Linked DNA regions of Schizosaccharomyces pombe. Changing the gene in region 1 together with any one later gene gives a genetic interaction. Each region holds a gene or a part of one and is shown on either strand. Other genes may lie near its edges. The genes, in order: atg7, vps1 and pqr1.

Region 1 (3,758 bases):
CTGCTATTGCTGTAGCAATGTTAGCACATCCTGATCGTGTTACTGTGCAGGTCTGATCAAGTGTACGGTCAACTAGTGAGTTTGAAGGCGCAAATATGTCATTACAAAAATAACAACCTAAGCGATTCTCTTTTTGTAAAACACTACCATGTCTCATGACCAGCCAGCTGTCAAATCCTAATGCTGAATTGATCAACAACTTGTCCATGGCAGTTGATATGACTGTCGGAAGCCAACGTGATTCCCTTGTATCGGTCAACAAGAATATCGCATCGTGAGTGGAAATAAGGTTCTCAAGAGTTTCGTAATCATGCATAGTTTTCTCAATGCCAGCTTCATATATAGGGTGTCCAAGCATTGGTATGCTGATGTTATATCCCGTTGAAAACTTCTTTGTTAGCTTGCATTCATAATAATTTTTTGTACCATATTCGGGTATATCTCCTTAAGCCGTTGCGCCGCACACTCTGCCTTTGGCAACTTTCGTTTGCAATCTTCAAATGTAAACAATGACTGGCGGACAGGATTTGAGTAGGAGACAGTAGAGTAATCCACAAATGTAACATGTCTCACCCCCCACGACTAGAACGTTAGCAATTTGGTCGTTTGCTTCATATAAATATTTTATTTCAATTTCATTACCAGCAAATTCCTTGCCACTCCACAACCCAGAGTACCGGCCCCCAGAAGTAAACATTTTGAGTTTTGAATACGATCGAGATCTAATTGCGGCACTAGTCTCCATCTCATCAAGCTTAGGTTTAACGTTGAAGCAGATTCAGACAATACAAAAGGATCAAGGACCGTAGACAAATTAACGACCCGGGGACCTAAAACGCCTTTTCCATTTCTTTCCCATCCAACGATTGAAAGGGGTGCTTCAAGAATCATATCCTTATCTGCTTCAACTTTTATTAGTATGCTTTTCGACAGCGTATCAGAATTAATCCCATCGCGATATAGAAATAAATTAATCACTTTCAATTTAAACTTAATAAATGCAAAAGCGAGGATATTCCTGACTGGCCAAGATGGATATTCTGCCAATTGAACAGAATCTTCTGCAACGAGATAAAACTACGTGTTAGTTGGATTAAAAATCGATGGCATACCTGAAGCGACTTGTCCACACAGTGGGAAAGCTCCTTCAGAGGTGCAATAGTCCATTCATCTAATGTTGATTTTATTAATAAGAAAAAAGGGCGTTGATAGTAATCAGCTGTAGACAAGAATTCACGAATTTGAGATAAAATTGGACCTGAAGGTATTAGCGATTCAGCTGGTGATAAGTCTTTTACAATCCAGTGAGGAGTTTCTTTAAACGAAGGAAATAAGCACCAATAATGGTATTTGTAAGCTTTTATGTCGGCGTAAGAAAATATAAGAAATCTAAGTAATTCATTAGGCCTTTCAGAAACAACTCCGTTTTTAATTGAATTTAATAACTATACATAATGTTAATGAGCTTTTGTATCAATCTACTTACAACTTCACCAATTTCCTCTCGAATTTTTTTCACGTCAGCGTTAGTAAATTCTTGAGGAGTATTGGCATTTAACAGTGTACCCTCGGCTAAACAGTCTTTGATATTACTAGGGACAGATTAGATGAAGCATTATTGTACACTCATTACCTGTTTGATGGCGCTTCTCCAAATACAATTGATATATTTCCTCTTGAATATGTATTAAATTTACCATGAATAGTTAAAGGTGACGCGTCTAATTTTTGCTTTTCGACTTTGTAATTGCTCAATTGATGCCAAAACGTAGCATCAATGGAGGAATGGAATGACTGAAACTGCAATGCCTTTCCAACAAACATTTCTGAACGTTGCTACAACGTTAGTTTGCTACACAGTTACTATATACTGCTGGGTATACACAGTAAGTAGTGTAGTAAATTATAGATGTCATTACATGTTGAAGCCGTGAACTGTTTATCACTGTGCTTTAAATTTCGTTAAATTAGAAATTATTTAGGGCAAGTCCAATTTACACCTGCGTTATTACAGAATATATTGAATATTGCAAATATGCTATAATTACATTGGTGTCAGCAATACTACACTACGTTGCGTATCACTATATGTCACATGTTCTAATTATATATCGTACCATGTATGATACGATATGGAGATTGATCTTAATGATAATCTATTAAGATCAATATTATCTGAATACTATAAATAGAGCTACTGCTGAACCTCGTTCCTCAGTTCAGTTATGAGCTATATTAGTGATAGGTAACATTATAACCCAGTTAATACAATACCTATACTCAGTTGCTACTTATACAACCTGTGTATTGTAATATAATAGATCACAAGGAAAACTCACCGCAGTTCTACGTATCCTTAAATCAGATACCAAACTGCGTAGCTTACAATTGGGTTTCAGATATATTTTCAAATAAAATGAATGTCAGCTCTCTTATGTATTTAGGGTCAAATTTACATATTTTGAAACTCTTGACCGTGGAGACGATATAGCATTTAATTGGAATGGTGCGTGGATACTTACAATCAAAACTACTCTTTCAAAATTTAAAATACGAAATTCGTTCACAGAAGGTAACTCAAAATGCTATTAAGGATATTTTTTATTTATTTCAAATATTCGGGGAGTGATGACTGTAAAACGACTTTTGCGTCAAAGGAGTTTTTAAAGCCAAACTGAATGGTTGGTCTATTTTGTAAAGAAAGACTTAAATCCGGGTCTCTTTGATAATGTAATGTTAAAAAAATTTAGTTGTTGTATGCTACCAAATTCTGCTCAACCCAAAATTCAATAAGACGCTCCGATGATTGCTATTAAAAAAAAAAAAATGATATAAATTAATGTCAATCTAGCCTTTCAAAAAGATAGACATATCCGGTAGTTTTTGCTTCTTCCAAGGAGGCAACTTGAAGCACCTTTTCATCATTAAACAAAACCCATTGCTGCTTTCCATCTATCTCTTTGCGTATAAATGCTACATAATGACCGGCATGCGCACTTGAGCCCTTATGGCTTATTATGGCCTTTAAATTGTAGTTGACTGGAACGTTTGTCGATTCCCAACTACCCATATTTTCATTTTTTATTGAAGAATCTGATCCTTCAAGTGGTGGTTCTTCAAAACTTTCATCCGGATGATTTAAAATCCAATCAACTGCGCGCTCAATATTATTGTTAGATTCAAGCAATCCTTTTCGTGCTTGTGCAACAGTAAAGCCGAATTCACATAATGATTGAACATTTTCTTCTGAAACACTTGAGTCTGCTTTGGGCAGTAATTCAGAAACTTCAATAGGTTTGTCAATTTCAGGGTCCTCCATATGTTCAAATAGCCAGTTCATGGCAGTTTCAGTATCAGAATTTCCAGTAGCGAGTAATGCTCGTTGGCATCTGACTAAAGGAAATCCCATAGCTTGAAGCTGTTCAATAGCACTTTGGTTCCATTCAATGGTCTCTGTCTTTTCAGGAAGATAATCTTCGTCATTTGGGTGGTCCTTAGCCATTAAGCGATCGAAATTATAAATTCCGTCTTCATTAACTATTATAGGGATGCTTAATTTCTTAACTTGATATCCCTGTAAATCAAACCGGTTGGCTTGTAGGATCAAGACTTTCGGGAACGACTTCATGGCAGTAGTAGTTGTAGCTCCTAGTTTACTTTTACAAGCTTCACAAGTATACTCCATTTGGTCTGGTTGTATAGTTGCATCTAAACATTGGTCTATTGAGACTTCTTCATAAATTTGCTCACCCTCAATT
Region 2 (3,758 bases), on another chromosome or scaffold:
TTCGCTTTCCTGGAGTAATTTATCGAACGCCTGAGACTTGTAAAGCTGCTCAAGCAACTCGTGCTGAATGTGCTCTTTAGAGTATTTTATCATTTTCAAAGAAATGGATTTAGGTACCATATCGGCCAATGTCCTTTTAACAATGTTGAAATAGGACATAATAAGTAGTTTAATAACTTCAGTATCAGTCTTTTCGCGGTCTGAGAGAGTAGTAGAAGCTCTTAAAACCGGTGGAGGAGGCTCCATAGCTGCAAGTCGCTTTTTATTCTTAGAACCAAAAAAGCTTCCAAAGAAATTCTGTCCCGAAGATGATGAAGTTTCAACTGGAGGAACGGGGTTATTTGTAAGTGCTTTTCCAGTTTTAGGGTCAACGGGTATCGGCTTACTATTCTGACTTTGAACAATCGCCATTGCTTGATGTCCAGATAAAAAGTCTGGATGAACAGTGTTTATATAAGAACCTTCCATGGCAACCATATCCATTACAAGGGTATTAGTGGGTTGCATACATTTTCTAAAGAAACCAATAACAACCTTGTAAAATTCATCTTTCAAAAGAGGATAACGTTTAAATATGGGACGTTGAAGCAATTGATTTAAAATACGGACAAGTTCGTCGTAAATGAGGGAAACACACTTCAAGGAAGGATCCTCCAAACGCTTAATTTGTTGCTTGACAATAACTTCAAATGCAGCAGTACCCATAAATAAACTAGGAGAAGGGCCAGATGAATTGTACAAAATGGTGCGAATATCCGAATCCTTAACTTCATCAAATGGATCAATTGCTTGAATACCATTCGAAAAAATTTCATGAAATACGAACGCAATACGAGCTCCTCCTGAAAGCTCCGTAGCAGAAAGCTCTTCACTACGGCCGTCCACAACTGTGCGATATTCGTTGCAAAAGTCAGTAATTAAATTTAGTACAATACTGGAGTTGTCGCCAACAGGAGTGTCCCCCAAAGAATGTAGTTCGGCCTGATATTTGGCTAAAGCAGCGTTAATACGAACTTTAATTTCGGGAAGGGTGTTCCGAATATGGTGCATCAATATCATATTTAGTTTACGAGCTAGAAATGGAGTACCGCAGTATTGCGCTTTAGAACCATAGGAAGGATGCGTTTCAAAAAAGTTCCTTTCTGCCTCAAGAGCTATACGAATAGACTTCTTCCCTTCGATGTCCTTTTGACCGCGATTTATGACTGGAACATACCCAAGTCTCAATGGAATAACACGTCCAGCTAGAATATCTACCACATCCGTACCTTTATCCATTAAATCAACCTTGGTCAATACACCGATAGTGCGAAGACCTTCGGGGTCAACTTCTCTAGCAAGTTTGAGACCATCTGAGTTTGCCAAATCAGTATTGGCAGCGTTTACAGCCAATATAATGGCATTGTTTTTAGATATATACTTCAAAACCATTTCACGAATTTGCTTTTCAATATCTCGAGGTTGGTCACCAACCGGTACCTTTGTAAGACCAGGTAAATCTACTAGTGTCAGAGTAAGCACATGAGGAGAGTAAATACGAAGATAGATAGGAACCGAAGAAATGCCAACATTCTTTCCTGTTTTTTCTTCTGTTTCTCTAACGATTTCTTCACGAATCTTTTCAAACTCAAAGAACTTTTGTCCGGGAAGATGGAGGAATTCTCCCCATTCAGATGAATTATTCTGGTCCTTTCCATCTGAATCAGTAGTTGTTTCTTCATTTTTTCCACTAGCGCTAGGTCTATTAATTAACTGCAGAACCAAAGGACGCCTTGTTACAATGCCGGTTCCTCTAGGAAGGAAATCTCTCCCAACAATATTTTCTAAAACCGATGATTTACCGCTTGACTGTGACCGTACGACCTAACAATTTATTAGTGAATTTTTCAATCTAAGTTAAAATTCACAACATACAGTAATCTGTGGTAAGTCAATCAAGTTTTGAACGCCAACTGTGGAGAAAGCCTCCTGAAGTTGATTGACAACTTTAATCAATGAGGGATCCATTATCAACTATGGATCCACTAAATAGACAATTTTACGAATGGGCGGTTACAAACCTGATGGTATGTGCTGTGGTAGTGTAGTGTTTACTCGGATATGTCGAATAAAATTAGTACCTCGCTAATCGGATTTCAGTAAGGCTGCTTGAAGGTGGCTTAACAATATCGTGTTGCTAATTGATTTACCAAAAAAGAAACAGTGATGCCCTTGAAACGTTGTTGTCAGACTTTAGACAATAAATCTAATGTTTAACCCTCGATAAGTAATATTAAAGCGATGCATCATTCCATATTTAACGAACGATAATATACTAATATTGCGTTTTACTACGTTGCGTATCACTATATGCCCTGTGTTGGAATAACAGGAAAGATCCTTTTAATGATAATTGCGAAATGCTATTTATCTTAATACAAAGTTACCCATTGATACTTGAGTACTGAAAAAATTAACGGAAACTGCTTTAACCTTGTTTTTCAGTACAATTATAAGCTATTCTGCTGATAAGTAAAAATAGTACCTATTTACGAGAATCTTTATAATATAGTACGCGTTTTGCTGCGTACCGTAATATTGTATATTTCAAATAAAACTACCACCACAGTTTTAAAAATTGGTTACATTACGCGTAGCTGACAGTGCTCAATACGCTAGTTTATTCAAAAACGAGTTTTAGTTCAGTAGGAAAAGGGAATGGACTTTATAGAAACAGCAATTTTTGCTAATTATTCTCTGTTTTGCTGCTGATTAGAAGTCGACAAGTGTGTTCAATTTGCACATGCCATTGGACAAATTTTAGCAATCACCTTAGCGTCAAACAATTTATGCTTTTTGTTGGAAAAAAACCAATAACAATTGGGACCTTTTTAGCAATAAATGGAAGCGAATTTCATAGTGGATAATATCTCTAATTTTTATCAAAGCATATTAATATACCATATGCAAACTTACAAATAGAGAAACATATGAAGTCTTGGTTCTTGACTCCAAAACTAAATAATACTAGCATTCCAAAAGTTAGTTATCAAAATAAATGGTTGTATAACTCGTGGAGTAGTTTGTCAAAATCTTACACATTTTGCTTCGTTTCTTGACACCTCTATCGTATACAAATGCCAAATCAATATCTTTGATATCTTGTAAATAATTTTTTGTCAATAAAATTACAATTTTTACAAATTTGTTACTAAACAGGATGCAAATTTGGGTTAACTATAAAATCCAACTTCTCTGTATTCGGCATACTGTTAGGTTTATACATGAACGGCATACATGTAAAACCCAAATTTTTAAGCAAATGCTACGACGCATAGGTTGCTTCATGCTCTAGCGAGCGTTTAATAAGAGACTGGAAGATTGGTACTCCTCCTAGGATCACTTACTCCATAACCATACCAATGCACTACTTACTCAATGTCTTCAACATAAATTTAGTATACATGTCTTTTTTAAGTCAATAAAACAAAACTGTCTTAATGTGCTCGTTGAAGAAAATTCGACAAATTATTTATTCTTTCAAAGGTTTCGTTAATTAATGTTTCAATCGTTTAAAAGCGGCATACCCTTTATTTATTCTGTGATCCTTAATTAAAAGCAAAGCCTAAAAAGAATTTTTACTTTTTTATTTAAAAATATCACTCGTGAAATGCTATTTGCCAAATTATTGTTAAAACCTGTACAAATTTTGTTTGCTTACGCAAAGGCCAAGAGCAAAGAAATTTCAATTAAAGAGGCTAATCTACTAATATTCCAAG
Region 3 (3,758 bases), on another chromosome or scaffold:
TAGCTTTAGAAGCATTGTCGACCAAAAGAAGAGGGTCTGATTCGATAACTTGAAAAAATAGAGGTTGAGCGGTTAAGGATGTCCGCTTATCAAACTTTTTCATGATCTTCGTAACGGCTAACTTATTCATTTGCTGAAAAGAAGCAACTTTCAACAAACTTTCATTAAGTTCAAGAAACTTAGCATACAAAATACGATCACGATGCTTTGAGGAAGAGGGAAGACATTTTGCTAGCCTGACCTGATCGTCAAACCATTTCAAATGGCGCTCAGCGAGCTCGGGAGTGCGTTCATGACTCTGATCAGCTTCCTTGCAAGAAATAAATATATCGGAATCCATATAAATTTCGAAAATTTTTCTCCAGCAATAAAGAGATTTGTATTTCTTTTTGGAATTAGGGGAAGCTATAAGAGATATTTCATGACTCAGGATATCAATTGCGTTAAAAAGAATTTTACGCTGTTCACGCTGTAGTCCTTCAACACTTTGCAACTCCGAAGTTAATTTTTCAAAAAACTCGTGGTCACAGTTCAACGATATTTCCATACTTTGAACTTCGGACATGTCAGAACTCATAGTTTGAGTATCGATATCTTCATCAACCGTTTCACAAGTCTCTACGCTCTGAGATGATGCGGACACACTTGGTAACGTATTGGTAGGGGGCTGCTGAGTAGAATCCGAAGGAGTAGAAGGAACATTTGAGGCATAATTACTCCTGACGGTTGTAATCATATTTGATGCATTCAACTGCTTGAACATTGAAGCAGCGAACTTATCAGTTTTCAATTTATCAAAATTTACGTTGATAATAATTTTGGGGACAACAATGTGTCCCTCTTTGCCAAGGGAGTAACTAAGCGTAATAGCTTGTTGGGGATCCACGGTAGTCGGAGCCATCAATTTACTGATGGTCTCAGCACTTAGACCCAAGGAAGACAGCTCAAAAACGAACCTTTTAATACATTTTTTTAAGGCCTTGTACTGAATGGCAGCCTCGCCCCAACCAGGGGGCATATCGTTTTCGAGAGCCCTTTTAAAATCGTGTCCAAATTTCATATCGGAAGGACTTTTTTTCAATGAAAATGAAAGAGGATGAAACCTTTACAAAAGATTGAAATCAAAATATTTGAAAGGCGGTAAAACTACAGAATAAAAAACCAAAGCCCAAGAAGGAGAAAGCTTTGTGGTTTTTATAAAAATGAGTGCTCCGACCTTTGCAATCGAAGTATCGGAGTTAAGTATTTTCTTTATTACAAGCAGATGGAGAAAGAAAGCTTGCAAGATAGAGTTTCGCAGAGTTGAATTGCGTACGTTTTGATTAAAATATATATATATTAGTAATGGAATGAAGTGAAGAAAAAAGTAACAGCCCAAAGACCTAAAAGCTGCTTGTGATAAAACAACAAGCTACAATGGGACGAAATTAGATAGAATAGATAAATGGAATGGGAATGAAAATAAATAAAATGATTTTCTAATACCACGTTTCGAATCAACCGAAACCGTCGTTCGCAAACGGAGACCTGCCTGGCTTGATTCAACCAAAGGTACGTGAGTGTTTAAAATTGTAAAGAGATGCGTAACTCCTTAATACTTATACATATAGTAAATGAATTTTCGATACTATTTCAAAAGTTTTAACACTGTACTAATCGTCAAAATCCTTGTTGGTTCATGACAGGTGAAAATCCTTGCAGTCCTTTCGCATCCTTATATTGCACCGCGTTAGACGACGCAAGGTGGCAAACCAAAGCATTTCCCCCTGACGTCATAAAAAGAGCGGAGGAACTTGCGGTATAGGTAATACTACCCAACCGCACTCGGGTTCGCAATGTTATTAGTAAACGGCCTTCCGGTAAGCCTTACAGTAAAAGGAAAGGAAGCAGGGGCAATTGGAAGACCAGCAGTGGTACGAAATCTTCCTTAGCTTTATAGAATGAGGCTTGTGCTGATTGTCAACAATTTGCTGACAATGTGTGAAACGTACAGAGTTGGGTTGTTGAACAAATGTTCTGTAGCACTGTGCCAAAAGAGAAAAAATAAAAAAAAATAAAAAAAAAAGAGAGATAAAGGATAGTCGGTAAGAAGTTGAGCCTCTTTGTTTTCCTCTTTTTTGTATTGTTTTTAATTTTGTATGTATATGATAATAAGTAGGTATCTAATTATATTTGATTGATCCGATTAAACCGGACTATGACTGTAATAACCATTTTATTCACGATTAGTTAACGGTGTGCCACAAAAAACTAAAACAGATAAGGGCAAGTTTCGTATGGAATTATTGTACATTATCGTATTGAGTAAGTAGATAAACGTGTTTGATGACTATAGACATTAAAAGGATTATCGAGATTGTAAAATTTTGGTTTTTTTACAGATTAGAAAAAAAAAGAAAAAAAAAAAAAAAAGAGGAGAAGGACATGTTGCAAATCCGTGAGTCAATAAAACAATTCTGGAAGAAGCAATTTTTTAGTATTCACAATGTAAAGGAAAGGACGACAATTACAATTTCATTGAATAATCCCAAGCTATAGGAGAGACTTAAAACGAGTTTGAAATATTGAAGAATATAGAAGGATAAGAAAGTCGATTAGTATGAATTTTGAGATTCTATTAAAATATGAATAGCAGCAATTGTTAAACTATCAAAATTTTTCTTTTATTCATTATACAATGCTATTTACTTATTACGGTGAAAAACTAACACGTCAACCTCAAACAATTTAGGATTTAAACTTTCGCTTTCCAATCAAGTTTAGATTTTTATTTTCCCTAAAAGTAGTCTTCTCATTTGCACATGATTTTGTAATGCTAAGCTTGGGGTAAATGAAAGAGACCTCCCTTTTGTAAAAGAAATCTGCGTAATGCTTATAACATCGGGTCGTAATTGCTTGACTCAATAATGTAAACAAATTTTGTTAAAACTATTTGTCCCTTGAAGAGGCAGTGTTATATAGTCAGATTAGCAACACAATATATTAAAAACATCGAGGAAATTTGCATTAATAAATGCGAAATTTTCGTATTCTATATGAGCGAAACCTTAGCTAAATAGTATTGATTAACTCAGAAAAGACCAAGCATTCATAGCGAAATTAACATGAAAATTCGTGATAATAGCCTTGCTACATGAAGGCAAGAAGTTCGTTTGTTTTTAAGCAATGCAAGCATGGCATTATTATTAGCGCATTGGCTTCTTCTAAAAAACACAATCTTACATTTTAATTCGGTTGTGGAAAAATTTGATCTTTAGTTCAATGTCTTTTGTAAACTGATAATTTTAACTTCATTTTTTGGAAATGTGCATTTTGCTAATGCATATATAGCAGCAAGACCTTAAATAACAATATAAGTTTTCATGAGAACCATGTTTTCTTAATTAAGAAGACAGTAGTTTGTAAACTGTATTAAGATTATACATATATCAATATATGTTAATATATATATTTATTCATATATTCATTTTTTACAAAAGTGATTTTTCGGATTTCAAACTGTCTAAAGTTTGCATGTATAGAACACAAATTTATTTAGGGTTCAAATGATTTCGTACACAACTTTAACTTATGTTTCGCTTGTTGTATTTATTTACTTCAGCATTGGCGAGACGTGAGGGACCACACCATATTATGTATTTGCGGGTTTGTCAACACAGATTTAATTTACCCATAGCATATTACTTTATTTTTTAGCATTAACAGTATTTTGATTCGTTGTTTCTCGTCAATTCGCCTTTTTGTCTCTTTCTACATTT

What was found.
Region 2: mutations in atg7 (region 1) and vps1 impair growth when combined (synthetic growth defect), as found in Schizosaccharomyces pombe (one study listed by BioGRID).
Region 3: of atg7 (region 1) and pqr1, a mutation in one rescues a mutant of the other (synthetic rescue), as found in Schizosaccharomyces pombe (one study listed by BioGRID).

The regions. Positions count from the first base shown.
Region 1 is NC_003423.3:2,634,771-2,638,528, forward strand, and holds the start of atg7 (E1 Atg8 and Atg12 E1 activating enzyme Atg7), read right to left. Parts: upstream 1,839-3,758; 5' UTR 1,825-1,838; coding exon 1,634-1,824; intron 1,593-1,633; coding exon 1,487-1,592; intron 1,446-1,486; coding exon 1,113-1,445; exon of another isoform or gene 1,078-1,112; coding exon 643-1,077; exon of another isoform or gene 583-642; coding exon 427-582; exon of another isoform or gene 389-426; coding exon 1-388. Other genes in the region: ubiquitin hydrolase Ubp14, read right to left, coding at 2,843-3,758. UniProt on the Schizosaccharomyces pombe protein: E1-like activating enzyme involved in the 2 ubiquitin-like systems required for cytoplasm to vacuole transport (Cvt) and autophagy. Activates atg12 for its conjugation with atg5 and atg8 for its conjugation with phosphatidylethanolamine.
Region 2 is NC_003424.3:1,997,336-2,001,093, forward strand, and holds the start of vps1 (dynamin family protein Vps1), read right to left. Parts: upstream 2,081-3,758; 5' UTR 2,008-2,080; coding exon 1,915-2,007; exon of another isoform or gene 1,864-1,914; coding exon 1-1,863. Other genes in the region: poly(A) polymerase Cid16, read left to right, coding at 3,650-3,758.
Region 3 is NC_003424.3:2,422,144-2,425,901, forward strand, and holds the start of pqr1 (ubiquitin-protein ligase E3), read right to left. Parts: upstream 1,684-3,758; 5' UTR 1,061-1,683; coding exon 1-1,060.